Linked DNA regions of Oryctolagus cuniculus. The protein of the gene in region 2 purifies or fractionates together with the protein of the main gene of each other region. This does not show direct contact. Links are inferred from orthologs where the notes say so. Each region holds a gene or a part of one and is shown on either strand. Other genes may lie near its edges.

Region 1 (10,226 bases), on a different chromosome or scaffold from region 2:
GGGGGAACAAGGAAAAACACCAAAATGTTAGCACTAATGAGTAGTAAATCTGAGGGAACCATTTTGGCATTTCTCAATATGAACGTGGAGATGTTAAATACTTCCTATTCGGCTGAATAGAAAGAACACCTTCATTGCCTTGTAGCTCTGAAGTCTAAATTAATGAAACAGCAATTCACTTGCATTTCCTGATGAAAGTCAGTTTTAAGAGAAATACATGAATTTCTTATACCCAGAAAACAGGTGGCTGACACTGCACAGCCACACACCACTCAAGTAAGTTAAAGTGAGAGCACAGCAGTTGGACTCTCCTATGAAGAACACTGCGGGATGGAGGCAGGGAATACTGCACGGTTGTTCTTTTTCTCCGTTAGGCCTATTTTATTTGTGCTACTTTGTTTTGTTTTTACTCTTGCACTATATTCTAGAGATCCAAATGAGCTGAAAATTCAAAGTCTAACAAACATTTAAATATGCTTGTTTGTAGTTGTCATTCTAATCATAATTGACTAGAAGCATGACTGCAGAAGGCAAGGAAATAAAGCTGAATTCATACTTTCAACAAAACACCATAGAAATAAGTCTACGTTCTATTTTAACCCCCCAAAATTATGTATAAAATAAGCGTCTTTACTGTCAGTTTATCTAGAAGATCTATAATATATAAACTACACATATATAACATAGTATACATAACATAGCCAAATGTATGAACACTTGACAATGTATAATTTGGAATTCACTTGCTGCCTACAGAGAGGTAAAGATTACGTTATGATTTTCATGTGGAGTTTCTTTTTCATTACTATTGACACAGTTTCAGGCACTCCATCATATTACTTTGACTCTTTTCTTTCTTTCCTCTTTTAGAAATATGTTTTAACCAGACCAGGCCCCACTGTAATATCACCTGAGAAAGGGCAAAGTTTTTGCATTTATAAAGATATGTTCATGGAAGGGCAATTATAATGGCATTTGATATAAATGAAAGCCAAAATACAGTAACCAAGTATTGATAGAAATTTTCAGAGAGATTGGAGTGTATTATAGCTTATGGAAAACACATAAGGCTACAGATTGTACACAACATTCTTGTTGGAACTCACATACACATAGCTGACCTGACTAGTACTTCAGATCTCACACTGCTTTTCCACAGCCTTCTGTAAGGTTCTTTATTCTCAAAGAAAATAAAAACAAACAAACAAAAAAACAGACAAAAAATAAAAAAGCAAAACAAAAAAAAACACAGAAAACAAACAAAAAGAATTCAATCACAAAATAGTGACTATTATTTCAGTGTGTCCTTCATGTGAAAGCTCTTAAGGACCAAATATATTACTGTGTGTAAGAAGTTACTTCCTAAACAGTAACAAAATATTTAGAGTTAAACTTGCTGTGGATTTTGTCTTGGCAGTTGTCATCTTACATTATTTGTCAAAGGAAATGTGTTTGGCAGTTAAAAATCTTTCCTTAGATTTAGTGGTGGAGTTTAACCTCTTAAATAAATGTTAGTCTATCAGATTGTGTCCTTGAAAATATTTTACTTGTATGAATCATGACAATGTCTAAATCTTTACTATTCTTCAGGTGAAAGTATCAGTAAGAGAGAAGGAGGGGGAGAGAGGGAGAGAGAGAGAGAGAGAGAGAGAAAGAGAAGTATAGCCTTTTTGTCAGAAAAATATTCTTTTTAGCTGCTTACTTTCTCATGAAAAGTAAAGATGTTTACAGTGTATGCCAACATTTTCAGTTTCTATATAACAACAGTTAGAGGTTCTAATCATACTGAAATTGTGTTACAATGGCCTGAGCCATGTTGCTAGGAAACAATAGGTTCCAATTTTGTATTCCTGCTCTCATTCCTGTGCTGAAAAGTGACTGGATACTGTACAGGTTCATGTTCTCTGGCTGCAGTTAAATGGTCTTTTGCATTTTGCTCTGGCTTTCAGGCCAGAAGCATGCATTTTTCTACAAGAGCATCACAACAACATGCTGTAAATATTTAAAGTAAAACATTATGTGTCGATATTTGAAAGAAAAGTACTTTGAATATTTCATTTTTAAAAAATAAAATTGCAAATGAAAATGGTGTCCCATTTTATTCATGCGCCAAACTGCATTTTTAAGTCAGCCTGGTCACCCGAGATAGGAAAAGTGAGTGGCTCCCTAACAGGGAACAATGAAACCATGTCATTTTGAAAACGTAGCTGCAGAGAGGCCCTGATCCCAGGTAGACGGCTCTTCATTTTGATGTCTCATGTAAATATGATCTCGGACACAAATGACCGTTTAATAAACAAAGAAGAGTAGCTGCTGGAAGTGTAAAGGCCTCTAGGCTATGACTTTTCCAAAGGGTTCAGTGCCTCCTGCTGCCTTCTTAGCAATAGAAAGGAAATTTTTTAAAAATCATAAAAGAGGGATAAGGGAGAGCTAGGAGACCAGGGCACCCAAATACATGAGCAAAAAGAAAAAGAAAAAAAGACGTTGAGAGGGGCAACCACGAAAGATGAATAAAAACAACAGTCATTGTAAGACCCCGCATCCCAGGCAATTACAGTCACCATGGGAGTTATTTTCCACATGAAGTTGTATTTACAAGTGATGCCGGAAAGCCAGCAAACAGATCTTCAACATTTTAACCTGCTACTAGGGGGACACATGTAATCCCGAGAGCCCCTAGCTGAAATTTGATTGGAATGCTAGAATTTATACCACTTCACAGCGCCCTCCTGCTGTGTTCTTCAGTGATACAGGGATATACAGGTACAGTGAGGAGAGTCATGGAGCTGACAACACCCTTGATTGTCTCAACATAACCCATCATCCAAAACAGCAGGGCGTGTGGGGGGAGACTAGGGTGTTAGTATCACCTGGGAATTTCTTCTCCAAAATGTGCAGCTCACCCCACCCTCAGTATTTTTAAAAAAAGACAAGAGGTCCTACACTGACAGAATCATTACAGGAAATGAGAGATTTTTCCGCATTTCTTCTCTATTCACTTTCCCTTTTAAAAATCTTTGAATATCAATGCTATTAAACATTTATCAATGTTACTACTTTAAAGTTTTATAATTGCAGTTCTTTAATAATCTGTGAGGATACATTATTCCTATTTGGCTGGCATATTCCTCAGAGCCTGACATACTTAAGGTCACATAGATAATCTATGACAAAGCTGGAAAGAGAATTCAGGTCTCATGCATTCCTGCTTTTACGCTCTCTGTCCAGTATTGAATATGCTATTGCCTTTTGCTGTCTTGTGAGAGAACAGTTCAATTTCTGTGTGTTTGCATGTGTATGTATATATGCAATCAAGACATATATGTTAGGTTGATAAGCTTTATCCTGTTCATCAGGCTTGTTACATCTTACTACGTTAAAAAAAAGTCTTCATTTATAAACCTATTGGTAAGAATTCAGCCTTTTACTACAAGTTTGGCCAAGACTCCAAATTATGAAAGTGTTCACAGTGAGTAGTTTCACTTCACTTCTAGCCACACAGTGCAAGGTGATGGTAACCCATTTACTACAAGGGCAAACATAGGTGGTAAAGTTGAATTTATAGCATCCTAACAAGAAGACTAGGCATCTTATAACCTTGACGTGCTTAAGGGCAAATCTGTATTTTATTGTTAATAGACTTTGGATTCTGAACTCAATAAAGTGAATCAAATAAAATATACGCCGATGTTATAACATTCTTAACAGATTTTATAGCTAGTTCTCACATTTTAATTTTCCATCTATTCTACCAAAGAATATCTTAAATTCAGCCTTTTATTTACACCGGAGGACTTAATCAAAGGCATTCTCTGTAGACTTATTCTACATATGCACCATTCTACCTATGAACAAAGGTTCCCTGTCTGTAACAGCCAAACAGACAATTACCTAAGCTTGTCCTCACTCACCTTATCTCGTGAGAGCAAATTTCAGAGGAAATGAACAAGTATTTGATAAGCTGTCATGCTCCTGGTGGGCCTGCTGACACACTTTTTTTCTCCAAAGAGAGGTGTAGGCTTGGAAATACATGTGCATTTTTCTATCTTGACTCAGCATCTTACAGGTATAGGTTAGCATGGCAATGTTTTAGATATGGCAAGGATATGACCTCTCTATAAAGGTGCAAGCTATTATGTACTGGGAAACAGCAAGTTGTGCATGTTGGGAAAGAAAAAGTGAGGGAAAAAAAGTTGATGAATAAAAGGCCAGCCGAAGAAGACAGGGGGTGGGCTCATCAGCTGGCAAATCTGACAATAGCACAATCAGAGAAGCACTTACCTTTCCAGGGAAGCTGTTCAATAAGATAAGTAAGATGGCCTTCATCAGTGCTTTATTTCCTTTATTAATAGCCTCTGCTCTGCATATTTTCAAAAGGAGTATTTTAAGACAAATTAGGTAAATGAAGCTTTCAAACACTTTATTAAAATGTGGAAGACCATAAATGATTCAAGATAGCTGTTTTCAAAAAAAAAAAAAAGCTCTCATAAAAGCACATGCAAACATGATTCATGTGTTTAGGATTAATCCAGAATGAGCACATTCAAGAGTAAAAATTAGCTACACATTTTATAACTTAAACTCAAGCTTCAAATAATTAAAAAATAAGAAACACATGCATTTTTGTCTAGAAAGTAGGCTTTCTGGAATCCTTTACAATTTAAAGTGATGCTCTTAATTCAAGAAATAGCAAACCATGCCCTATACCTTATCGTGACTGTACTCCACCTTGTGCACTCCCACAGCGTCGATGTTCAGTGTTCACAAATCGGACCTTGACAGCACATGGGGAGTAGTACTGTCTCTCAGCAGTCCATTAATTATTAACCAAGCCCACCAACACGCATGTACAACCTGGAACCCCAATTGATTAGTTCACAATAAAGCTCAGCCTTTTCCAGTAGACCAGAAACCACAGTATTTGTTACTTCATTCTGCCTCTAAAGGCAGACCTACCTACACATGGGGAATCTCACTTATCATGTATTTATCCACCTTTATTGTTGTTTTCTTGTGCAACTAGACAGTGAGCTATCCAAGGACAGGGATCAAGTGTTTTTATTTCTCTACCCACCGCCCCGTGCCCTCTTATGTTTGTTGGCTGAAGCAATTCAATGAGCCCTGAAGCAACCCAACATAAAATCAATCACTCAAGTCATGCAAATACAAATGTGAAAAGAAAATACTGCATAAAATTCAGACTCTCACTTAGCTTTCAATCACTTGGAATTGTTAAAAGTTAATGTAACCGTAAGCTTTCCAATGGGCTTCTAGGGATACCTAAGAGGGAGGTGCTTCCGCATGACTTACTGGAAGACCTGCAGCTGCTGAGGTTGCCCTTTAAATCAGGTTTCACGTGTAGTGGAAACAACCTGCACAGAGGCAAACTAAAAGATGAAAAGTACACTTCACCGGATTTGTAAGTTTAAATCCCGGAGCATCAAATATAGTCAATATTTAGAGCATATTTTTAATTGTGGGATTTTCAACTCCACATTAGTATGTAGATGATTACTGTACTACATCAGAACACTAGGCAAGAAGGTGGCTTTCAGAATTAAACAGAAACGCTTTGCTATTTCTCTAGTCCTTACTTTAGCAAACAGTACACAGCTTCATGAATCCCAAAAGAGCCTATGACACCATAGCTAATGGAGAACTGCATATGCCAAAGATGAAGGCTACTAACCAACATCCCTCCATACAGTCAAAGCGAAACAATTTCAAATCGGTAACTCTCAAATAATATTTCACTAAAAATGGTGCTTTTGACAAAAACTGAGTATTATTTTTATTTGTATTTGGCAAGAATTGATATCAATCTCTTATAAAGTATTCATTGTGCTTTAAATTGTTTCCCATTTGTAAATACAATAACTGAAGATAACCTAGGGAATTATTTTTTTTCCAATCCCCATTTCAAAGCTCTTCATTATCTACAAAGCCCATCTCAGCTTGAACATCAGGCTAGATGCTTCCATTAGAGGACTATGATGGTTTTAGAAATGCATTTGTAGCTCACTGAACTGTATTATCTACAATATATAAGACTTAGCATATATTTAAATTACTGAATAAAGTACAAGGTGTTTTCTTTTTCTTCATGGTGCTTTCAGGCATACATCAGGATCTTCTCTTCTCCCTAAAAAAGTAATAACAAAACTCAAGAAAAGATAAGCATTCAAACTATTTACAGCATAAGTTAACTCAAATGTATAATCAAATTTCCTACTGTATAAAATTTACAACAATATAACACGATGATACACCTTAAGCAACTATTATTTAAAACTGAGTTTTGAAGAATGGAATACTGGGCAGAAGAGAACAATTAGCCAATTAGAGTTCTATTTATATTTCCATTATTAAGGCTAAGTATTCATTAATTTAATTTGCCACTTGAGTCTAATTGTCAGTTTATGCCTGAGTCCCTGTCAAAAAATTAAAAGGACATAATGATTCATTTTCTTTTATCATAAATATTTATTGTTTCAATCAAGGCATATCCTCTTACTCCAAACAAATGATTTACCCCTTTCTTTTTTTTTTTTTTTTTTGACAGGCAGAGTTAGACAGTGAGAGAGAGAGAGAGAGAGAGAAAGGTCTTCCTTTCATCGGTTCACCCCCCAAATGGCTGCTACAGCTGGCGCACCGCACCGATCTGAAGCCAGGAGCCAGATGCTTCCTTCTGGTCTCCCATGCGGGTGCAGGGCCCAAGCACTTGGGCCATCCTCCACTGCACTCCCGGGCCACAGCAGAGAGCTGGACTGGAAAAGGAGCAACCGGGACAGAATCCGGCGCCCCAACCAAGACTAGAACCAGGGGTGCCAGCGCCACAGGCAGAGGATTAGCCTAGTGAGCCGCAGCACCGGCTATGATTTACCCCTTTCAATAGAGGCATACAGTCACGTTTCAGACCATTACAGGCATCTGCAGGTATTCATTTTAGCCTGACATACAAGCTAAAATAGCTTTGCTCAGGAGTTATAGCAGTTTGTGCCAGTGGAATAATAAAGTCCACTAATTTAATTTTCTTTACCACAATAAAATTTCATTAATTAAGCAGTACCAATTCAGACATCAGGATCACATAGACCAAGTAACATTAGCCTTTATATCCCTGAAGGGGAAAAAAAAGTTTACTAAGCAAAGGTAAAGAACAGCCGAGATATTCCCTGAAGTATCCCATCTTTCAAATTGCTAGTGTCTGAATTAGTAAAGTGAAATAGGACTTACATACCTACAAAGGGACTGAGGAGAATAAAATGGAACAATAGGGATTAAAATGTAGTGGGTTTACAGAATTGTTGACATTTTTGCACAGCTTTATTAAAAGTTTGTAGTATAGCATGTTGAAACTATAGCACATAATTACCACTCACTTGATCTTCCAGCTACCTCTACTTTCTCATTGCATCTTTCCTGAAGAACTTCTAAGTGATTGTATTGTTATAAATAGGTTAATACATAACCCTGAACTTCCAAGCCCTGTCAAAAAATAATAGTAAACCCAAATCTGTAGTACCTTGTGTACTTCGGGCTGAGGACTTCTCAACTGGATATTGCAGAGGTATTACAATGCCTTGATCTGGCTTCTGAAATGCTGAAATGAGATTTTTTATTTTCCGGAAAAATCGTTTATGTACCCCAGGTGCTGTCTGAAAAATAAAAGGCCAAGCAAATTATTTATTTATCTCATATGGATACAAAAAGGCCTAAAAAATGTGCAAGTGGGGCTTAGAGAGGTAACATTTGTGTAACGTGTTTAAATATTTGAAAACATAAGGAGGAAAGAAAAACAACATTCCGAAAGAGCTTACTTTGGTTGGCTGAACTTCCCTACAAGGGGAGCTAATGAGCTGTCATTTAAGCTCTCCCAAGGGTGGTATTAGTTTGTACAAGCTCTTGCTCCTCGCTCTGCCCTTCCTGCCTGCTACCCATCATACATCCTGAACCTCTAAGGGTCTACAGGCCATTACCCACAATGAATTCACGAACAGGGAATGAAGGGAAACACACACACACACACACACACACACACACACAAAAGCACACATACACTACAGGTCATTAACAAAAAACCTGAGGAATCAACCTCCCCCCCCCAAAAAAACCCCTACAGCCCATCCGCCCTGTCATAGCTCCATGATATAAAATACTGTGCAAGAAATTAAAACTTGACTATTGCAATACATGAAGCACATGGGTAGTTAGCCCTCATACTCTTTAGCCTGAAAATATGTCCAGCTTCATCCTTCACATGAAATTGTTTCCTCCTTGGGAAACTTCCTTGTTCTCCCCAAAATGGCTGTCTCCGTCAGTACTGCACTGTGACAATGCTTTCTCCATGACATGAGAATAGAAGACTCTATAAAGGTCAGGTTTATATGTTTGTTTCTTTTTAAAGAGAGCGGTGTTTGCAGGCAATTATTAAAATGCGTTCCTTTCCTGACATCAGTTCTCTTGCAAAGACAGTGCCTGAAATCAACAACTATTTCCTGCAAAAGCTTGTGAGCCATGCTTTAGGCAGTAGCTCGGAACTGTCATTTCACAGGAAATAAAATAGTATTGCTATGAGCCATTCAACAATGGCTAGTTTTTGTTTTTTTAACAAAGTTGTTTTTCAGCTATTCCATCTGGAAGATTTTTGAGGGGGAAGCTGTTTGGTTTTTAGCATCTAATGAGAAACCACGAAGGCCAGGATACAGACTTCTGTCCGCCAGCGCTCACAGGAGTTCACACACTCTCCATAGTAACTCTGATCATGTCTTACACTGGGGTGATTTTTCACTGAAAACATTACAAAAGTTTGTTTTAGCCCTCATCTATTGTGCACCATACACTCTCAGTAGACATAAAACCCTCTCCCACCGAACTCCACAATGATCCAAACCCCTGCCTAAAACTCCATTGAGACTTCATCCAGAATAAGATAGCCTTTCTTTCGGAGGTCAAGACAATTCTTTGCCTCCAAGGTAACACCTCCAAATTTGCAAATGCAGGCCATGGCCACAAAAATACTTTCTTACAATTTCCTTAGCATACTTTTTTAATTTTCAAGGCAGTTTCCCATCCCCTGCCTCTATTTCCTCACAGATTGGCAGTTGTCGGTGGATTCAATTATTTCCATTTTGACAGATGAGAAAATGTAAACACAAAGAAATTAATCGGCTTGCCCAAGGTCATTCATGTAGACAACCGCAGGCAGAACTGGCTCTGGATCTTTGGACACAGTTTCTTGCCTTTCAGATTAGGACTAAACCAAACAGGGGCTAACGAAGCTACAATCACTAACTAGAAGAGAAATCATACACCCCCTCAGTGTCAAAAGAAGGCAAACCACATATCTTTTGACTGTCCTTGTGGCTTGTAAAAAACCATTTATCAAGAGAAGGATTATTTTTCTGGGTACTGATATCCAGTTAACACTTAATTATCCATGCCAACAGAGAGGAATAATAGCTCCAGCTGTACAGAAGCAATTCAGATTTGGGATGCAATCTCTCATTGGCAAATGAGTGACTGAATTTATAGCATTTTGCTTAGGTTAATAAGTAAAATTATTTAGCATCTACTGATCTGATGATCAAATATAAAAAAAAAACACAGGCTGGGTCAGCAAGGGGCGGCCAGTACATTTTATACAATGTAAAACCAATGCACATGTTAATAAAGGATAGCTGACTATGTGTATAATCCTCTAAAAATTTAGTAAAGTTTTAGGGGGCCATCACTTTGGCGTAGTAGGTTGAGCTTCCACCTGTGGCTCTGGCATGCCATATGGGCATCGGTTTGAGTCCTCGCTACCCCACTTCCCATTCAGCTCCCTGGTAATGGCCTGAGAAAGCAGTGGAATATGATTCAAGTGCCTGGACCCCTGCACCCACATGGGAGACCCAGAACAAGCTCCTGGCTTCAGATCAGCCCAGCTCTGGGGAATGAACAAGGAAATGAAAGACCTCTCTGTCTCTCTCTCTGTAACTCTGCCTATCAAATAGGTAAATCTTTTAAAAAAAATCTAGTAAAATTTTAACTTGAGTCACATGGGATAACTTAATACACTATGCAATAATCTAAGAATATGTAACATTTTTCATAATTCAGTGGATCCAATATTCAATTTTAAAACAAATCTCAGCCTTTCCCAGATGTTATGCATAATCTTTAGACAGAGATTAGAGTACTACTCTTATGATTTTTCCTGCAGTGTGGCAAATTAAAAAGTT
Region 2 (10,754 bases):
GTACACAACTCTACCCACCCCCACCCCCACCCCCAGAACTCAAGCACTGTGTCCCCAGCCTTCCCAGCACTCCTCAAAACAATGAGGCCCAAGATCAAACTTCTTGGCTCCTGGACCCAAATATTTATTCCCACCGCCACCCCATGACACACCCCTGCACAGAGAAGGGCATTCGCTCTTATGGTTGGGACGTGGGCCATTGCTGAAGAACAGTCCCATGTTACACCTGGCTTAATCCCTCCTGAGTGTGCTTCCTCTGCACCTGCTGCTGTGCATGTCTGTGTAGTGCAGGCTTCAGCAAATAACCTTCTCTGGCTGTTACCCCAGTTCTGTAACTCACTGTGTCATCCTGGGAAAAATCACAGTTTCCCCAGCTACAAAACAGAGTAGATAGTCTAAAGAATCCCTTTCGATTTTAAGTCTTATCAAAGGTGTATTGTGGGGGCCGCACTGTGACATAGCAGGTAAAGCTGCCGCCTGCAGTGCTGGCATCCCATATGGGTGCTGGTTCGAGTCCCAGATGCCCTACTTCTGATCCAGCTCTCTGCTATAGCCTGGGAAAGCAGTAGAGGATGGCCCAAGTCTTTGGGCCCCTGCACCTGTGTGGGATACCAGGAAGAAGCTCCTGGCTCCTGGCTCCTGGCTCCTAGCTCCTGGCTTCAGATCAGCACAGTTCCAGCTGTTTCAGCCAACTGGGGAATGAACCAGCAGGTGGAAGACCTCTCTCTCCCTCTCTCTCTCTCTGCCTCTCCTCTCTCTCTGTGTATAACTCTTTCAAGTAAATAAATAAATCTTTTTAAAAAATACACTTTGTTGGGGCCAGCGTTGTGACACAGTAAGTTAATCCTCCACCTGCAGCGCCGGCATCCCATCTGGGCATCGGTTCTAGTCTGAGCTGCACCTCTTCCAATCCAACTCTCTTCTATGGCCTGGGAAAGCAGTGGAGGATGGCTCAAGTCCTTGGGCCCTTTCACCCATGTGGGAGACTGGAAGAAGCTCCTGGCTCTTGGCTCCTGGCTTCGGATCAGCACAGCTCCAGCCGTTGCAGCCATTTGGGGAGTAACCAATGGACAGAAAACTTTTCTGTCTCTCCCTCTTACTGTCTGTAACTCCACCTCTCAAATAAATAAATAAAATCTTTAAAAAAATGTATTGTATCTCTAAAAAGTATAATAGTAATCATATTTATAAGTATATAATTATATATTGTTATCTGTCATATACTTATAATGTTTTATATATTATAACTATATTTATATGATACTGGATCTTATATATTACCATAATTGTATGTTTTTTTTTAACTTCTGTTTAATGAATATAAATTTCCAAAGTACAGCTTATGGATTACAATGGCTTCCCCCCCATAACTTCCCTCCCACTCACAACCCTCCCCTTTCCCACTCCCTCTCCCCTTCCATTCACATCAAGATTCATTTTCTTTTTTTTTTTTCTTTAGAATTTATTTTATTAAATCATAAATGTACAACAGCTTCTTAACTCTACACACGCACTTAAATTTTTTTAAAGGAAAAACGTTATGTCTTATTACACCATGATCCTGGCTAATAGCTTTTCAAAACTTTGAGAAAAATCTTAAAAAAGGTTTCACATGTCACCTGAAACTTACAAATTTAACATTATCAAAGGAATGCTTCTACACTCTTACAAAGACCACTAGAAAGAAACAACAATTAAAAAGCTAAGAAACTGTCTCAAAGGCATTTTTTTTTTTACAATCCTTCCTCCACAGTAAGGTAATGTTATTAAATAATCCAATCCATTCACAAAATGGCTCTCTGCATCTGCTCTGGTGTCTTCTGCCATATCACTGCATATTTATGCATGACTGAGATAAGAGTTTCCTTAACATTTGTTATTTCGATAACCTGAAGCTGTTCTGTTACCTCTGGGCTCTCATCCTCTCCTATTTATACAGTGAAGCCCAAGGCAAAGAGAAGAAGCTCAATATCGGCTCCTCCCACCATAACCCCCACTTCCTCCACTGCCTCCTGGACCATAGTTTCCTCCACCATATGGTCCCCCCATGTTTCTGCTACCACCAAAGTTTCCACTCTTCATTGGACCGTAGTTAGAGGGTTGCTGGTTGTAATTTCCAAAATCATTATAATTTCCACTTCCGTAATTTCCTCCTCCATAGTTGTCATAACCACCTCCGTAGCCCCCACCCTGGTTGCCATATCCAGGTCCTCCACCACCATATCCTCCTCTTCCTCCTCCATAACCAGGGCTACCTCCAAAATTGCCACCTCCAGGTCCTCCTCCATACCCATTATAGCCATCTCCAAATCCACGTCCACTTCCATATCCATCAGATCCTCTAAAATTACTTCCTGGCCCTGGTCCAAAATTCCCACCACCACCACGTGAATCTCCAAAACCAAAGTTACCTCCTCTTCCACTCCTAGAACTCTGGACTTCTTGCATTTCTTGTCTAGACAAAGCCTTTCTTACTTCTGCATTATGACCATTGATGGTGTGGTACTTTTGCAATACAATTTTATCCACAGGATCATGGTCATCAAAAGTAACAAAGCCAAAGCCTCTTTTCTTCCCAGACTGCCTATCAGTAATTATTTCAATGGTATCAATTTTTCCATATTCTTCAAAGTAATCTCTAAGGTGATGTTCCTCAGTATCTTCTTTAATTCCACCAACAAACAGCTTCTTCACAGTTACATGAGCCCCAGGTTTTCCAGATTCTTCTCTTGCTACAGCACGCTTTGGCTCAACCACTCTCCCATCAATTGAGTGAGGTCTTGCAGCCATGGCAGCATCAACCTCAGCCATGGATGAGAAAGTAACAAAACCAAATCCTCTTGATCTTTTGCTTGCAGGATCCCTCATCACCACACAATCTGTAAGTTTTCCCCATTGTTCGTAGTAGTTCCTCAAACTTTCTTCTGTGGTTTCAAAGCTTAAGCCCCCAATAAAGAGTTTACGGAACTGTTCCTTTTCTCTCTTTTTCCTCTCCAAAGGAACAGTTTCTAAAGTTTTCTCCATCGCGGACTCAGTCGCCTCAGCCCGATTTCCCGCAGCCGAGCGAGATGAGAGAGATCTCCGCGGACGAACGCGAGCCGGACTCGTCCTGGCGCCGGGCTGAGCACTGCCGCAGCTCGAGAAACAACACCGCCTGCGAGCACCTCCGCCCGGGGCCCGGCGCTGCTGCCGCTGCTGCCACTGCTGCTGCTGCTGGAGCCGCTGCCGCCGCTTTTCTAGCAAGATTCATTTTCAATTCTCTTTATATACAGAAGATCAGTTTAGCATATATTAAGTAAAGATTTCAACAGTTTGCACCCACATAGAAACACAAAGTGAAAAATACTGTTTGAGTACTAGTTATAGCATTAAATCACAATGTACAACACATTAAGGACAGAGATCCTACATGAGGAGTAAGTAAGTGCACAGTGACTCCTGTTGTTGACTTAACAAATTGACACTCTTGTTTATGGCATCAGTAATCACCCTAGGCTCTTGTCATGAGTTGCCAAGGCTATGGAAGCCTTTTGAGTTCACCAACTCTGATCATATTTAGACAAGGTCGTAGTATATATTACCATATATGTATATATGGTATATATCACCATAATTGTGTGTTGTTAATATGCTAAATATTAATTATAGTAAATAATTTCCATAAGGAGAAATAATAATGATTATATATATCATTCTATTTGCTTACAATAAAATTAATCTATAATTTATCTTATATAATTACATAATTCTATCAATTTATGTAATGTTAATGATATAATATTAATTACTACCACTTAATAAGCTCCTACCATGTGTTGAGACATTTTTCTTCTTTCCTATCTACCACCAGCTTTTGCCTAATAATGCTAACTCACTCTTTAGGTCTTGTTCAGCACAGTTGTCCGTTCCTTCAGGGAGGTTTTGGCAGCTCCCTTTAGCCTGGGTTAGATGCCCCTGCCACTCCCATAGCTCCTTGTATTTCTCCCATGGCAACATTTATCACACTATATTGGAGTTGCCTGTTTGACTGTTGATCCTTCCAAAGAGATCATAAGCCCCACAAAAAGAGGTCAAGCAATTACTGTGTTACTCTTTATTTTACTAGTGCCCAGAATAGTATCTGCCACATAGTAGGTACTCAATAAATATTTGGATTTTGTTGGACAAATACTAATTAAGGCAAGGCACCTTTTAAGTTATCTAATTGGAAAAAATTAGCATAGCAATAAAAAAAACAAGTCTTCCTAAATCAGTTAGCTCACACTTCCTTTCTTAAACGTGGCTATAAAAAGGAGCAAGAAACTCAAGCAAAACAGTCTCTGCCAGCACAGAGCCGCTCTGGTGCAGACATTTAGACCCCAGAAGAAGATGGCTCTGCACCACCTATGGATCTTGCTCCTTTGCCTGCCTATCTGTGAGTTCTGATCTTTGCTAACCCCTCCTAGTTTTCATTGTTCTAAAAATTACATTTGGGAAGACACTGAAGTGTTGCTTTAATATGTTTTTAACGTAATGCCCTAAGTATCAGTATATTTTATACTCAAAAGAAAACCAACTGACTGGGAAGAAGCTAAAGACCTAAGCCTAAGTGGTTTTCAGTGGTAAGAGTTCATATTTCTGAATTTTATCTGTGCTACCTCCAAAGCTCTGAGATAAAACTATCTTCTCAGAAGAAGGGTTAGCACTTGGTAAACCCACTCCCCAAGCTTGACAAAAACATTATCCAAAACATTGAATAACTAAAAGCAATTTCTTTCTGGCACTAGAGTACAGTATATGGTTTTTCAGAAATATTTTCTTCCTAACTGTGTTTCATTGTTCTATTAAGTTAGAGTGATGTATCACATGATCATTGTAAAATCTCATCTCTAAGCTCTGTTTATTTTCAAAGCACATTCCCAGCTACTAGCCTACTTTTATCCCCCCAAAAACTCTCTAAATTAAATTGAAGAGATCTTTATCTCATTTTTACGAATAAGTTAACTATCAAAAAAAAAGAGGTAGGGAGCATTAAATTAAAATTAAACTAACTTTAAACCCTTGTTTTTCTTGCTTATGGCTTAGTAGCAAACTATAAAGGACAAAAATGAATATTGGTTGTTATTAGTACAAACTATGTAATATTAAGATGGCATGGCATTATTATCTCATCAAATTCAAATAATTTTCCTGGTTAGACAAAAACTCACCATGTTTGAAGTCTCTGAATCTAGTTCTATCTAGTTGGTATCTCTTACCAACTCTGGAAATATAGTAGAAAACTTCTGGCATGAGTTAGAAGCCAGTGAATGTAGAGGGTTAGGATTTTCTGAAAAGGTAGAAACAATACCTGTGATTCCTCTTGTCCCCTTGGCAATTTAAAGTTGTGGCTCCTTTTATTTTGATCTTCATGGTTTTTGTAACCATGAGCTAAGGCAAGGCTCTGGAGCCAGTGAGATGGTCACCCTTGTGAGGCAGACTGAAAGTGCTACATGGAGAGATGAACTGGATCTAGGAATACCCCTAATCTTTCAGAGAAAGACTAGACAGAATTTTATACCATTTAATTTGTAAGGTATTCTGTGAGTTTGTGCTTATATTCTTGCTATCTATAGAAAACCATTAAAATAGAAAGCTAGATGTGATTAATTCCATTATGTAAAGAAAAAATAAACTAAGATTCTGAAGTTTAAAATTTTTCCTGAAATTTCACCTCCTGAAATTGGTAGAGCTGGAGACACACCTTTACTCTTCTCATCGCAAAGCTAGAGGTCTTTCTGCTACACCTGACCTCACTCATTAAGTTTTAAAATACCTGATGTTCCGCAAGGGCTAGCACTGGTTAAGACAAAAGGCAGCTCTAGTCACTTCCCCATGTACTGAAACTGAAATGAAAGCAGTGGGTTCAGGTAGTAGCTAACCATTCACACTCATCGGCTTTATGACCCTAGGAAAGTTATCTAACCTCTCTCACTTGGTTGTTTCCATCTCTAAGTGGGAAAACTATTAATACAGTAGGGTTATTTTGAGATTAGAATAATAATGCATATACAGCACTTGGCAAAGAACAGGAACATAAACTGCTTAACAAATATTATCTAGTTCTATTGTTTTTCACACTTGCTTTGCATGCATTATTAGGAATAGCTGTGGCTTTATAACATCAAAATACTGGGCAACCCAAGCAATGTGAGCAGGAGGAAAGGCGGTCAGAGTTTGAGCTTAAGTATGGGCTGACAGCATACTGGAAAAGAAAACCAGGGGAGATATTCCTTTTATCAGGGACCCATGAAATAGGGAGTAGAGACTTGTATTTTGCTGGCTTGTTTCTGATGGTTTATTTTATTGTTTTGGGTTTTTTTTTTTTTTTTTTGTTTTTTTTTTTTTTTTTTTTTTTGAGAGAGAGACAAGTTACACACACAGAAAGGGAGTTTCCTTCGATTGTTTTACTCCCTAAATGCCCTCAACAGTTAGACTGATCCATGGCCAAAGCCAGAATCCAGGAATGCAATCTGGGTCTCCCATATGGTTAGCAGGATCCCAATTACTTAAGCCATCAAGGCTGCTTCCAAGGGTCTGTATTGTGAGTAAACTGGAGTCAGGATCTACAGCCAGGAAGTCAAACCCAGGCATGACATTATGAAACACAGGTGTCTTAACTGCTAGGCCAAATGCTCACTTCAGGGCTTACTTTCATAGAAGAAAAGTCAGAAGTACCTTCCATATCATTTCCCTTTACTGATGTATCTTTTTGCCTCATGTATCTTTCCACAAACATTTCCTTATTGCAAAAAAATATATCCTAAATTTCTCCTGCAACTATTCCTGGTAGAGGTGAGCCCTCATTTTTAGTGCTAGGCTTAAGAGTCAACACTGATTTTGTGCACCTCTGTAGAATTCTCGGCAGAAGCAATTAAAATTATTTGGAGAGCTGAATGTAGAAAGTCTCACTTCCCCCTAAAATAATTAGCATAAGGGAAGTTCAAGTGTGGAAACTCATGACTCCTCTGTATAAGGAAATTTATTTCTGGGCACCAAGACTCACAGTCTTATGTTCTGATCTCAAATTTATCATCATAACATGGAGAACACTGACTCTGACTGTACTTCCACTTACCCTCCTAACCACTCACCCTTGGATGATAGAAGATGAAAGAGTGCACTGCCTTTGCACCTGACCCATTCCTTCCTCATGAAGTCAGAGATTTCACAGTTAATTCTTCCTTTTCTCCATGGCTTTCATGCTGTTATTTCTGCAACTCCTTCCCTTTGCACCTTTCTCCTCTCTCTCATTAGTAAGAGTAATCAACCATGTAAGGAACAATCACTACATGTCAAGCATTACTCTAAGCAGTCTACTGTATTGAGACAATGGCTATCATCTCTAGTCTTCACCGTACCCTAGGGGATGTGTATTATCAGGACACTTATTTACAGATGGAGACATTGATAATACAAAAAGTGATGGAGGTAGGATCTATACTTCAAGGTCCTTAGACTTAATCAATTCAAGATGCTGTCTCCACCCACTTTGATGCTGAAATGGAGTAAAATACTGTCTCCATTGTAGATGGTTATCACAATTGGGAATTTATCAGTAAAGAGTGATGATTTATTTATTCCTGTCAAGACTATTTGGGTAGAATCTGCACCTGTCTGTACACCCCCTGTAGAGGGGGATGTGTCTGGCAGGCGGCTCCTTGTGAATTATAGAAGTTTAGGCAGGCCAAAAAGGCAGAACAACCTAGGCAGTAACCATCTCCAGACAGTTCAAGTACCATTCACACCCGTATTATTTGGATTGATCTGAATTAACTACTTTAAAAAGCATAATATCAAGATGGTCTTGCTGTCTAATTGGATGTAGACTAGTCATAGGGTGTTCCAGGAGTCAAAACTTGGAAATCCAAAAGGTGAATTGCCCACTTGGATATCTGTCCTTGGAAATTAGACACCAGATGCTGACAGAGTCTACCTGTCACTGGTATGAAATCCTTGCAGAGATGGGCCTTCAAGATGAAGACAAGGCCTCTATTCCAGAAAGAGATTTGAGCAGAGAGCTAACACACTGAAAGGGCTCAAGAGCAGAAGCCCAGATAAAGAAATGGAAAGCTGTTGTGTAAGGGGGGAAAGCTAGATATCAAGATATCAGCTCGCCGGCGCTGCGGCTCACTAGGCTAATCCTCTGCCTTGTGGCTCCGGCACGCCGGGTTCTAGTCCCGGTTGGGGCTCCGGATTCTGTCCCAGTTGCCCCTCTTCCAGGCCAGCTCTCTGCTGTGGCCAGGGAGTGCAGTAGAGGATGGCCCAAGTGCTTGGGCCCTGCACCCCATGGGAGACCAGGATAAGTACCTTGCTCCTGCCATCGGATCAGCGCGGTGCGCCGGCCACGGTGGCCATTGTAGGGTGAACCAACAGCAAAGGAAGACCTTTCTCTCTGTCTCTCTCTCTCACTGTCCACTCTGCCTGTCAAAAAAAAAAAAAAGATATCAGCTCTAGACTCAGTTTCCAAATTGAGGCTGGGACATTGTGGCCCAGTAATCCTGTAATGACACAAGAGAAAGCAGAAACCCAACTTGCCAGCCCATTTTGCTGAAGCAGCCCTGGAGGTCACTGTGGTGACCAGCAAGGCATCCAGAGTACTTTCACAGCAGGAGTTCTAGGCCATTCAGCCCACTTGGGTATTCCAGAATCAAACCTTTCTTGTCTTAGACATTGGAGGGGATGAATCTGCAAGGTTGGGGCTAACTAGATTCATCAATGTAGAATTTGGAAAAGAAAGAGAAATGAGCAATCATTAGGGGAGTCAGTACTAATGCTGGTGGAACTGTCTAGATACCCATATTTCTGTTATCAAACTCAGTGTTCAATTATATGCTAGTGGAAGGGAGCAATGACGAAACAATGGATGGCTGTGACCTTATATTTGTTTTGAGGTTTTTATGTGTGTATGTGTATATTTGCACATGTCTATTTGTTTTGAAACAACCAATTTAAGTCAATCCAGATCTCAATAAAGATGATATAAAATAAAAAGCTTCAGGGGGAAATAGAATATAATTGTATGGAGGGGCATGTAGTGCCAGCATCCCATATGGGTGCCAGTTCAAGACCTGGATGTTCCACTTCCAATCCAGCTTTCTGCCACGACCTGAGAAAGCAGTAGAAAGATGGCTCAAGTGCTTGGGCCCCTGCACCCTCGTGAGAGACCTGTAGGAGGCTCCTGGCTCCTTGCTTTGGACTGGGACAGTTCTGGCTGTTGTGGCTACCTGGGGAGTGAGCCAGCAAATGGAAGACCTCTCTCTCTCCCCTATCTATCTCTATCTCTGACTCTCTGTAACTCTGCCTTTCAAATAAATAAAATAAATCTTTAAAATAATGTAATCATATGGGAGTGGTAAGTTCCTTTTTTATTACACTGTGACCAAGGACTTTCTACCTATATGGAGAATGACACAAAACAACTTCTCTTTAAGCTTCTTTTTCCTCCTTTCCTCCATTCAGTTTGACCCAGTTCTCTTCTTGGTGCCACACAGATGACCTCTCATAATCCTCCCAAGCCTGCAATATTCATGTAGGCTCCACCCCAACTTACTGACTCCAGAAGGCAGTATATGAAAAAAGGAAATAGAGTTGGTGTCAAAACAGAAAAAGAAATTCTTATTTGAAGCATTATAATGAAACAAGGGCATAGAATTGTCTGCTAAGAAGCAATGCAATCTCCCCTCATTTCCTTTCTTATCAAAGCAACACACTGATCTCTAACATCTCCCCAATACTTCAACCCTTCTTTTCCACCTCAGAGTCAGCTGGGTGTTATTTCAACCTCTATAAAGCTGCTGATTTGCTTTATATGACAAATATTTAATGTCCACTATATACTAGGCACTATTCTAAGAGGTTTACAGATATCAACTCATTTGACCCTTCTAACATATCTATGATGTCACCACTGTGACGTTCATTTTAAAGCTGAGGACGCTGAGGCATAGAGAGTGTATTGACTCTCCAGGCCCACAGCCAGTCCCTGACAAAGCCAGTACTCAAGCCCAGGAAGTTGCATTTTTAATCACTAAGTCAAAGTGCTTCACACTGGGGCATGCAGTGGACACACCTCCAGGCAAGACTCCCCAGGGACTCTCAGGGTCCCTCCCCACTAGCATGTACACCCCACGTGTACGCTCCTTCAACTAGTCCTCCTCATAACTCTCTGAAGTGGCAGGATGGCTCTGCCCTAGCTAATTTACTGGCGAGGACCCAGAGACCTACTAGGTAAGAGGCATTAAAGGTCAAGGACTGGTTGCTAACAGACCCTTGACTAGGACCTGCTTCTCAATCCCCACTTCAGGACACTTGCAGTAACCATGGTCTGGGTCTAAATAAATTTTTCCTAGAAACAATGTAGAATACTAGAGTAGAAAAAAAGTTAGTTAGCCAACTGCTCCTGCTACTGCTGCTTCTTCTTTTAGAGTACAGTAGAAATATTTTTATTTAACCTATTTAAGAGCTTAATCATTTACAAACACAGTGATCCTATCATTTATACAGAAAGAACTCCATTTTGTTAAAATAGTACTACTGTCAACCTCTGCTTGGCCATTTTTTAATAATCCAGCTAAGTTTCCTAAAGTCATTTGAGGTTAGGGAGAATTCAATAAATAAATTTGAGACATGTCTAGTTAAACAGAATGAATTACTTTAAACTTTGACCTTTTTACACTAAGACCCAAAGACCCATAAATGTTCTCTCTGCCCTCATTTTTGCTCATGCTTTGTTG
Region 3 (10,226 bases), about 2.0 Mb from region 2:
GGTAGTAGTATAAAGTCAGTAAAGAAAGTGAAGAGTAACTTTCTTATGCTCTCAGGGCAGGGAAGGAGTTCTTAAACAAGAATCACACACACACACATGCAAAACATAAAGCAAGGATACTTGATATGTTTGATTACATCACAGTTCAATATGAGCATACATTATGACCCATCCATAGAGTCCAGAGAAGCTCTCATGTTTCTGTAAGGAGGTCCATGGGAAGATGTTCATCACAGTGTTGTTTATGGTAGCGGGGAATTGGGACCAATCTCAGTATCTATATCTAGAGTAACAGATGAGCAAAATATGGTGGATACACACAATGGAATTCCATGCATCAGTTAGAGGCACTGAATTAGATGTACACTCAATAATGTGGAACAGAATCAAACAGTATTGTTTGAAAAAAGTAGTAACAGAATTGGAGCAATAGTACCATACTATGTACATAAATGCCAAAGATACAAATTCAAAAACAATACTGTATATTCTATAAGGGCACATACATATACAACAACGTACATCAAGTATAGATGTATATAGCTGGTTTCTATGGGTGAACATTGAAAGTTAGGGATGAAGGGAAGAAAAATGAAACAAAATAGAGTTCACGTATGGACTGATGGTTGTGGTGAGTAAGAATTATCAATTTTCCACACATCAATCCAGAAAGGAAGGGAGGATATCCCAGTCTGGTTGTTAAGGGACTAGAACCTGAGACTCCTTGAGTTGGAAGATGCCTTAGCAGTAAGGCAGTCTAACTTCTTGTAAAGACAGAGATTATCTTTCCCATATCCTTGGAAAATATCACCTCCTCACTGGAACCAGAATACAGAGCAGACTGTTAGGATGCAGAATAGCTCTGGTGGATTCAGTCTTCATTATTACATTTGGCTAAAACTGCCCTGCTAGAAACACTCATCCATTGGTCTGAATTCTGCTGCCTGTCCTTGTAGCCAATGAGTCTACATCCACTTTCATAGAACAGCGCTTCAAACACTTGGCATTGCTTTGAATAATTTGTTTTTCCTTTCCCAGTCCCATATAACCTGAGTTTTCAGTGGTTCCTCATGTAAGCTGTCCAAGGTCTTCTAAAAAATGTCAAGGATTATTGGCATTATAGCATAATGTCAACGTTAGCTGTCTAATATGCCTTGTTCATTTGAGAAAGGTACTGGAAGCTCCTGGAGGCCATGCATTGTATAAGGTACTTTGCACAGGTGCGCAAGAAGAAAAGAAAAAAAAAATACTTCTAGGAGAGTTATCATTGGATCCTGAACTAATAGTCTTGAGCCACTGGATTTGGAAGTAAATAAAGTTTAAACAAACCTCTGCTATCCAGAAAGGCAACATTTTATATACTGACTTACTCAAGAAATACTCATTGAATATATTTTATGTGCCAAAGATTGCTCTAGGCTCTAGAAACTGGAATATATTTCTTAGTATATAGAATTCAAGATACAGAACTGAATCCCAGGGAGCAGGCTTGCTTCCAGCATCCTTTACTGAATTGACCAGAAGGATTTGGCTTCCACAGCTCTCTGAATATGGCATTTCACTCCTTGTCTTTGTAGTAACCATGGATTGCTGTGACCCAGGAATTCTAAATTATTCATACTTTGGGGCCCCAGCCACAGTTCCTGTCCACGTTATCTGGAAATTTAGAGTTCCTCTCTTCAATAAACTTGGAAAACCAGTGGAGTGAAGTGAACCGTTAAGTTTTGAAGATGGCAAGAGAAACGGCATAGAACTTGGTACATTCAGAATGAAGGTGGTCTTGATTACCATTTTGAACTAGTAGAAAAATTGAAGGGGCTTTACCAATGCAACAAACTTTTCAGAGATGTGCTTCCAATCGATAGTCTCTAGGAACGAGACACGTCTGTATGCAACACATATTTCTACATGCTGTGGAAGGCTCAGGGGAGATCCAATCATGCTTTGATGACACTGAGAACCTCGAAGGGAAGAGAAATCACAAATGGGGGAGTATGTATCATTGTACAGAACTACACTACAATGCTGTACAACTACTGCTGAAGTGGTTGGTGCTTGAATAGAAACAGGAAGAAAGTGTGTCCAGGTTGATGGCAAGAAGATCAAGATTAGAAAGGAGCAGAGCTAGAGAGAAAATATACCTGGCTGGAGATGGGTGTGTGTTGTGGATCAAGGCCCTCACCATGACCAAGACCAACACAGACAGCTACGCAGAAGGTGACAGCTGAGATCCTGATCCCATTGATGCTGTATAAATTTCCATCACTCCCAACTTCCCCAAATTCACACAATACAACCAGGTCCAACAGGGGGTTTGGGGCAGTGTGCATCATCCCACCCAACCATTTGCATTACAGATGAAGAAACTAAGACCTAGAGAAGGGGTGAAGTTTTTCCAAAGTAAGGCAGCCACAGGGCTTGAACTCATGGCTCTGATCACAATGGCAAGTGTGCACCCCTCTCTGATCAGCTTGTCAGAAGGAGAGTAACAATCGTGACAAAGCAGTGGTAGGACCTTTAACAAGGCAAGGAGAGTAGGTCCAGGTTGTCTGATTCCAACAAGGAAGAGAGGTGAATGGGGTGGCGGGGGCTGGCTGGAAACTGCTTTTAGAATACACATGGGAAGCAGGGATGTGGGGAGTGACTTCTCTGGGGCTGGCAGATAGAAGATCTTCAGTTACCCAGGCCAGGAAAGTCTGAATTGTCCACTGGAGCTTGGCATTCTGGACTTAACACCTGCAGGAGAGAGAATCACCAGATGAGAGCTGCCACCTCATTTCTTCTTGAACTTGCTTTGTCCAGGCTCCATATCTTCAAGGCAAGACATGCACATAATCATGGCCACTGTTTTCTGGGAGGAAAGCATAAGACACGCCATGAGACTCCACAGCAGGGGCCACACTGACCAACCCCTTCCAGGAAAGAAGACATCTCCCCAGACACAGCACCATCTTGAAGCCACATCACAGTGTCATCTTCAGAGGCAGCCGGGGTACCACAGGGAACTCTCCTGGTAAAATAGGGGATTCTCTTAAAATCGAATCCTTAGAATTTCCACCCCAGGTGTCTCCATTCACCAGCAGAAAACCTGGGCGTCTCTCAGAGGGAGAACATCTGACGCTTATTCTAAGGAGGCAAAGGGAAGGGGGAAGGAGATGAGGACAATGGTAGGGTATTTCCCTGCTGCAGCTGAGGCTGCCAGTGCAGACCAGTGCGGGGAACTGGGCTTGAGAATCTCATCCAATTCTTAGGCAAGAGCGCTGAGGGGCCTCCGGGTGTTTGTGTTGCTCTTATTGCTAAGACAAATGCCATCAACAGCCCCCACCAATGCCATCAGCTCATCTGGGCTAGCCCAAAGGTTGCAGTACAGGTACAGGCCTGGATTTCTAACTCTGTTGCCTTTTTTTTGGTTCTTGTTCTTCAAGTTTTGGTGGAAAATGGCCATGGGACTCCATTTGAAGCTGGACCTACACTAAGTGATTTTGTGTATACATGGGTGCACTAACCTCTGCACTGGCAAGAGCAGGGACAGAGAAACAAGGATTGGGAAGGGCTTTTGTTTTAACTGTTAAAACCCCATGCTTACTCATGTTAGGGAGGTGAGAAGCTCACTGTGGCAGCCTGAAGGGTGACTTTGGCGAAGACAGAGTAGAATAGGTTTGGGATGATTGCAAACTCCTCGATAACTCTCTGTCCTCTGTCCTTGTTAGCTAGACCATCTGCTCTCATCATCATTACCTGCCCACTGGTGACTGGGAACACATTGAGCAGGTAACCATACAGTTCACCATGAGAAAACAGAATTACACATACATGCCTCTGGAAGTCTGCATTAAATTCAGACTGTGTTGCAAATGACACATCCTAGTTTCTCTTCTGAGAGAAGATTCCAAGAATATGAGGAAGAAAGAATCGCTACTTGCGATGTGATTTGGGGGTCCTCACTACGGATTTTCTGTACTCAGGTTTCCTGGCTGTCTCTCATCCTCCACCAAGACTTACCACCTTTAGAGATGTATCTGAGGTAATTTGTCATCTAGCACTTTATACATGAATGCTTAGCAAATGTTGATCAAAAGGTAACAGGATGAACCTTGGGAAAGCCTGAAAGTGCTTCCTCCTATTTGCATATCTGTCTACTTGTCCATTAATTGCCAAAGGCTAATTGTTGACACAAGGTTACAGAATGAATTCGAAGTGAGCACTCCTGCTATCCGGGCTGTCCAAGGACAGAAAGCTCTGTGACCTGCCACCTTCAGGGCCTAGAAGACCTCATTTCTCAACTCAACAGAAATTGCTCTTAGCAGGTTGAAGCTTTTCAGAGATAGTGGCACAGAAAACGGTATTTGTTTTGCATTGATTCTACAAAGCAAGCTGTTGGTGGAAGTGGGGTTAAAGCTCCTTCCTGACCCTGAATGAAAGCTTTTACCATAAATAGCATCCAACTCTGGTTTTGATCTTTTCTTGTTGAAGCTTCTTCTCCGGATTGGTTTTAAAAGCTGAACCACCAGACCTTGATTCGGTTTTTCAAATTTTGAGATCAATTCCTTTAGGCTTGGAAAGACCTGTTTTGGAGTCCCTTCTGCAGTCTGCAAAAGTACAAGAAAGGAGACCGCTTATCCTAGTGCAAGTGTGTGCGAAACCTAACACTTCTCAAAACAGTGACTTTCAAGGATGCCACACGGAGCTGACAGAGTGGCTAGCAGTTCATACCAGCTGCAGTTTACAGGAGTCCTTGCCTTTTTTTTTTTTTTTTTTTTTTTTTTTACAGCCAGAGTTAGACAGTAAGAGAGAGAGAGAGAGACAGAGAGAAAGGTCTTCCTTCCGTTGGTTCATTCCCCAAATGGCCGCTACGGCCAGCGCTGTGCCGATCCAAAACCAGGAGCCAGGTGCTTCTTCCTGGTCTCTCATGTGGGTGCAGGGCTCAAGCACCTGGGCCATCCTTCACTGCCTTCCCAGACCACAACAGAGAGCTGGACTGGAAGAGGAGCAATCGGGACAGAATCTGGCACCCCAACCGGGACTAGAACCCAGGGTACCGTCACTGCAGGAGGAGGATTAGCCTAGTGAGCCGCAGTGCTGGCCATGGAGTCCTTGCTTTCAAGACTGACCTCTGACTAGAACTACTCTGAGAAAAGAGGGTTTCCAGCCAGTGGATCCCTGGCTGGGTTTGCAGTCTGCATGGCAAGTGGATGTAGGGCCGCTCTTGGTGTAGACACACTGCCAGACCCTGGGCCTTGTTGGCAAGCTTTGCTGCCTGAGGGAATGAACAGAGGTTGGCTTCTGGTGGGAAAGGGACGTGTGTGACTTACCTGCTGGATCAATTCAGAATCTGCAGGCAAACAAAGCCCCAATTGAAACTGAAACGGCGAACATCACCACAACTCAGTTAAATTGGAAATGGTGGTATGCTGCTTACCAGCTGTTCATCCAGGACTATTTTGTAATAAGACCTCATAGAAATAACCTAAAAACAAAAAGAACTGGCTTTCTCTGCTCTTATGTGTTTGGTTTTCTTGATTATGCACTGTGGTTCTCCGGCAGCCACCGGGCTGGGCCACGGAGAGCAGCAGTTTCTGGCATGCGGTCTGGTTAACCTCTAGACTGACATGACTGACATGGAGATTGACACTGTGGCTGCTGCAGGAAAGTCCCCTGAATGCACTCACTTGAACCCAGAGCATCATCCGCCGCAGACCTCTGGCCACAGTGCAGTTGCCCTTTGAAGAAACAGCTCTTTGCGTCTGAGTTGTCGTTGATTGGGATCTGCTCCGTGTTTTCCAGGTCAGAGACAAAACAGGGCATTGAGGGATTATCCAGAATTTCCCAAAAGAAGCACAGCAAAGAGAAAGCGTTTTGAAATCCCTTGCCCTTTTTTTTTTTTTTTTTTTTTTTTTACAGGCAGAGTGGACAGTGAGAGAGAGAGACAGAGAGAAAGGTCTTCCTTTGCTGTTGGTTCACCCTCCAATGGCTGCCACGGCTGGCGTGCTGCGGCCAGCGCACCGCGCTGATCCGATGGCAGGAGCCAGGTGCTTCTCCTGGTCTCCCATGGGATGCAAGGCCCAAGTACTTGGGCCATCCTCCACTGCACACCCTGGCCACAGCAGAGAGCTGGCCTGGAAGAGGGGCAACCGGGACAGAATCCGGCGCCCCGACCGGGACTAGAACCTGGTGTGCCGGCGCCGCAAGGCGGAGGATTAGCCTAGTGAGCCGCAGCGCCGGCAAATCCCTTGCTCTTTACAAGATCTGTTATTGTGAGACAATTTCAGATGTAGAGAACTTGCAGAAAGAGTGAAGGAGCGGGAGTTGTAGCACAGTGGGTTAAGCTGTCGCTTGTGATGCCAGCATCCCGTATTGGAGGGTTGAATCCAGTCCTATCGACTCTGCTAATGTTCCCTGCCTACGCACCTGGGAAGGCAGTGGAAGCTGTCTTAGGTACATGGGAAGATGGCCCAGGTACTCTCCTCTTGGGGGTCCAGGATGGAGTTCCTGGCCCCTGGCTCAGCCCTGGATCTGGTTGGCATTTGGGGAGTGAAGCACTGGATGGAAACCTCCCTCTCTGTCTTTCAAATAAACAAATCTCTTTTAAAAAAAAATTGTAAAAACCTATATAGATTCTTTACTCACAACCCAAATGTTTATTCTCTTTATTATAATTTTATTCTCGCTTTATAAGCATACACACACACACACACACACAAAAATGATAAATGTACATATACCCAGGTGTGTAGCCTTTTAAAAACACTTCTTGAGTTTTAAATTGCAGGAAAAATATCCCTTTCGCCCTAAATACTTTAGTATTTCCAAAAAAATGTAAGAACGTTCTATAACCATACTGCAGTGGTTCAAACCAGGAATCAGCCTTGCTGCAGTACCCCAGGTTCAGTATCCTCAATTCAAAATGCTCGGGACCAGAAGTGTTTCAGATTTGAGATGCACTGGGATTTTGGAATACCTCATCTTGCGGATGAGGCCCAAGTCTGAACAGAGTTTATTTATGTTTCTTATGCACATAGCCTGAAGGTAACTTTATATAACGTTTTAAATAATTCTATGGGTGAAACAAATTGGAAACTTCTCCAATTGTGTTATAGCCATGCTCAAAACATTTTAGATCTCAGAACATTTCAGATTTTAGATTTTCAGGTTTGGGAGATGCTCAACCTGTGTTTGCTGATCATTTCAGAATTTTGCTGATTGTTTCAATAATATCCCCCAGATATATGGAAAAAGAAACATTATAGATGCAAATACGTTGTCTGGGTAGCCTTGTTCATTCCGGTTGCTTGCAAATATTCACAATGCCCATCAGCATATTGAAGTCTCAGAGAAATCTTGTAAAAAAATCTAATGAACTTCTTATGGAAGTGTTTCAGAAAGATTATTTTAGTATTTTCTATAAGTAATTTAAAATGTTTACATTTATTATATTTTACTTCTTAAACCAGATAACTAAATTCAAAAGAAACAAAAAGATTTTTCTGCTTAGCTTCCGGTAGAAAAATGAATCAAATCCTTCCGGTTGTTTGATGATCTCCTTTATATTTCTGTATAACTGGAATACACTTGATTTCCAAAACCTTCAGACTGTCCCCACCTTCCCTTCCTATCCTGCTTCATTGTTTAGCTTCCAAATTCAATAATGGTTTCGCATGGAGTCCGGGTGAGTGCATCTGGCTGCTGGAGGAGCCAGAGTTGTGTGCCTCCACACGTTTGAGTAATAGCCAGGGTAAAAGCGGCCGTAATTCCAGTAATCTTCTGTCTCATAGAAAGACAAGCTTAACCCTTGTTCTGAGTCTTGGTGCTACATGGCACTTCCCTTTTACTATGTCTGTATGTGGTCACTTTCTAGGTTCAGGAGACGATCTCAGATTCTTCTCTCCCACCTTTTAGCTGTTGCAGGAGTCCTTATAGTTCTTACCTTTATCTTGTAATACCCATGTTTCTCTCTGAAGATTCGGTATGTGTAGACAAAGTTTTTAAACCTGTGAAAATAAGACTGTGTGAATCACAACGTTCTTATATCCAAATCCAGGTAACTTGTCCTACTGTGTTGTCTACTCACTGCCTCTGTCAATCTTGGATTCCAAAAACGAAAAGTGACCATCTTCAGGCCCTTCCATCCGTGGGAGTTTTAATGAGCTAGATTTTGAAATGGGGACCCTCAGGCCGGCACCGCAGCTCAATAGGCTAATTCTCCACCTGCAGCGCCAGCACACCAGGTTCTAGTCCTGGTCAGGGCGCCAGATTCTGTCCTGGTTGCCCCTCTTCCAGGCCAACTCTCTGCTGTGGCCCGAGAGTGCAGTGGAGGATGACCCAAGTGCTTGGGCCCTGCACCCCATGGGAGACCAGGAGAAGCACCTGGCTCCTGCCTTCAAATCAGCGCCGTGCGCCCGGCGCATGGCCACAGCGGCCATTGGAGGGTGAACCAACGGCAAAGGAAGACTTTTCTCTCTCTCTCTCTCTCTCACTGTCCACTCTGCCTGTCAAAAAAATAATAAAAAAAAATAAAGAAATGGGGACCCTTATTCTGATATGGAGGTCTGGATGCTAGCAAAGAGGATAAGAAGAGAGATTTTACACCTCCCACGGTCTTGGTACTTCTCTCTGTTATTTTCACTAAGATAGAAGTTGATCGAACATGCAGAACATGGGTGAGTCATGCTGCTCATTGAATGTCTTGTCACTGGTTCATCAGAGATAGTGCTGTTCATGGAGAGAATACTGGGAGTTTAGGCTGATGAACTGATTTACTGTACACTCATTCCTCATTAGAAAAGCAGCCATTGGCTAAATAATCCAATCATGCATTAGATAATAGACCCAATCTTGCAACTCAAAGCAAGAAATAGCATAAATGGGCTGGTGCTGTGGCGTAGTGGGTTAAGCTGCTACTTGCAGTGCTGGCATCCCATATGGGTGCCGGTTCGAGTCCTGGCTGCTCCACTTCTGATCCAGCTTTCTGCTAATGCATGTGGGAAAGCAGTGGAAGATGGTCTAAGTCCTTGGGCCCCTGTATGTGTGTGGGAGACCCAGAGGAAGCTCTTGGCTCCTGGCTTCGGATCGTCACAGCTCCGGCTGTTGCAGCCAGTTGGGGAGTGAACCAATCAGATTGAAGACTTCTCTCTCTCTGCCTCTAGCAGATGGAAGACATCTCTCTCTCTCTCTCTCTCTCTCTCTGCCACTCCTTCTCTGTCTGTGTAACTCTGACTTTCAAATAAATAATTCTTACACTTGATCTTAGCTAAAAGGCTGAGAAGCAATCAAATAAATAATTCTTTAAAAAAAAAAAGAAATAGCATAAACTACTATAATTCTTTAACTCCAAGATGTCATCTATGGTAAGAGACATTATTAATTTATTAATTAATAAAGCTCTTCCAGGAGAAAAATTATGCATTAAACATCTCCATGGACTCCTGTACAGGTTCTGATTTCACATAAATATTACTGAAGTAACACCTTGACAGTAGGGACTCCATTTTGGAGCACTTGAGACTCCATTCTGGGAAGGTGCCCCCCCCCCCCCGAGACTCTGGTCTGAAACTATGATCTAAAACATTTGAACAAGAGCAGCCCACTACATCACACTTGGAAGAGCATAGAAACCCCCTAACATGATCGCTCAAGCTTGGAAGTGGATAGGCTGCACCTGGGTTAATAATAAAAATGTAATTTGTCTATGTCTTACATATGATTAAAACCAATACCTGGATTAATGTCAAGATTATAATTGGAATTGTTAAGATTGTAACTGGTATTGTCAAGATTATAATTGATACTAGTTTCTCATAGGTTTTAGCTCAGCTTGACCCCACCAGTAACCATGTACTCCCCCCGATCCTAGCAACCATGTATTCCCCTCCCGATTTTGTGGTTTTTGCCTTTATAACCCTGTTGCTTTGGGCTTCAGGGTCGAGAGTTCTTTAGGGCATGAGCCCACTCTCCACCGCCGGCAATAAGGACCATCGAATTTTATCAGTGTGTGATGCTCCTTTGTTTACACTTGCTCAGGTACGACATTACAATGTAAAAAGACGAAACCAAAGACATTGACATGAGATTCACACTATAGGGTGAGTCTTTTCCCTCCTCGCATCTATGTTAAAGAGTGAAAAGATTAATAAGTGAGCCAGGGAGCTACTTTCAGCTTTAGGATACAGCCAACACCATTTAGGAGAATTCATCACTAATTATTTGGAGATGTTGGCAACTGACTTTAA

The links. Proteins that work in one complex are often made in the same cells at the same time.
Region 1: the proteins of CD84 (region 2) and SH2D1A purify together in Homo sapiens (affinity purification with western blotting; 4 studies listed by BioGRID and IntAct, with this or other methods). This does not show direct contact. The link is inferred for Oryctolagus cuniculus from reciprocal best matches to the Homo sapiens genes CD84 and SH2D1A.
Region 3: the proteins of CD84 (region 2) and SH2D1B purify together in Homo sapiens (affinity purification with western blotting; 3 studies listed by BioGRID and IntAct, with this or other methods). This does not show direct contact. The link is inferred for Oryctolagus cuniculus from reciprocal best matches to the Homo sapiens genes CD84 and SH2D1B.

Annotation. Positions count from the first base shown.
Region 1 is NC_091453.1:102,153,666-102,163,891, reverse strand, and holds the end of SH2D1A (SH2 domain-containing protein 1A), read right to left. Parts: intron 7,659-10,226; coding exon 7,526-7,658; intron 6,143-7,525; coding exon 6,102-6,142; 3' UTR 4,395-6,101; downstream 1-4,394.
Region 2 is NC_091438.1:38,328,382-38,339,135, forward strand, and holds the start of CD84 (SLAM family member 5), read left to right. Parts: upstream 1-4,269; 5' UTR 4,270-4,368; coding exon 4,369-4,414; intron 4,415-10,754. Other genes in the region: heterogeneous nuclear ribonucleoproteins A2/B1, read right to left, coding at 1,966-3,024. UniProt on the Homo sapiens protein: Self-ligand receptor of the signaling lymphocytic activation molecule (SLAM) family.
Region 3 is NC_091438.1:36,331,881-36,342,106, reverse strand, and holds part of SH2D1B (SH2 domain-containing protein 1B), read right to left. Parts: intron 7,989-10,226; coding exon 7,925-7,988; intron 5,767-7,924; coding exon of another isoform or gene 5,670-5,766; intron 4,590-5,669; coding exon 4,430-4,589; intron 2,852-4,429; coding exon of another isoform or gene 2,814-2,851; exon of another isoform or gene 2,737-2,813; coding exon 2,678-2,736; 3' UTR 1-2,677. UniProt on the Homo sapiens protein: Cytoplasmic adapter regulating receptors of the signaling lymphocytic activation molecule (SLAM) family such as CD84, SLAMF1, LY9 and CD244. In SLAM signaling seems to cooperate with SH2D1A/SAP.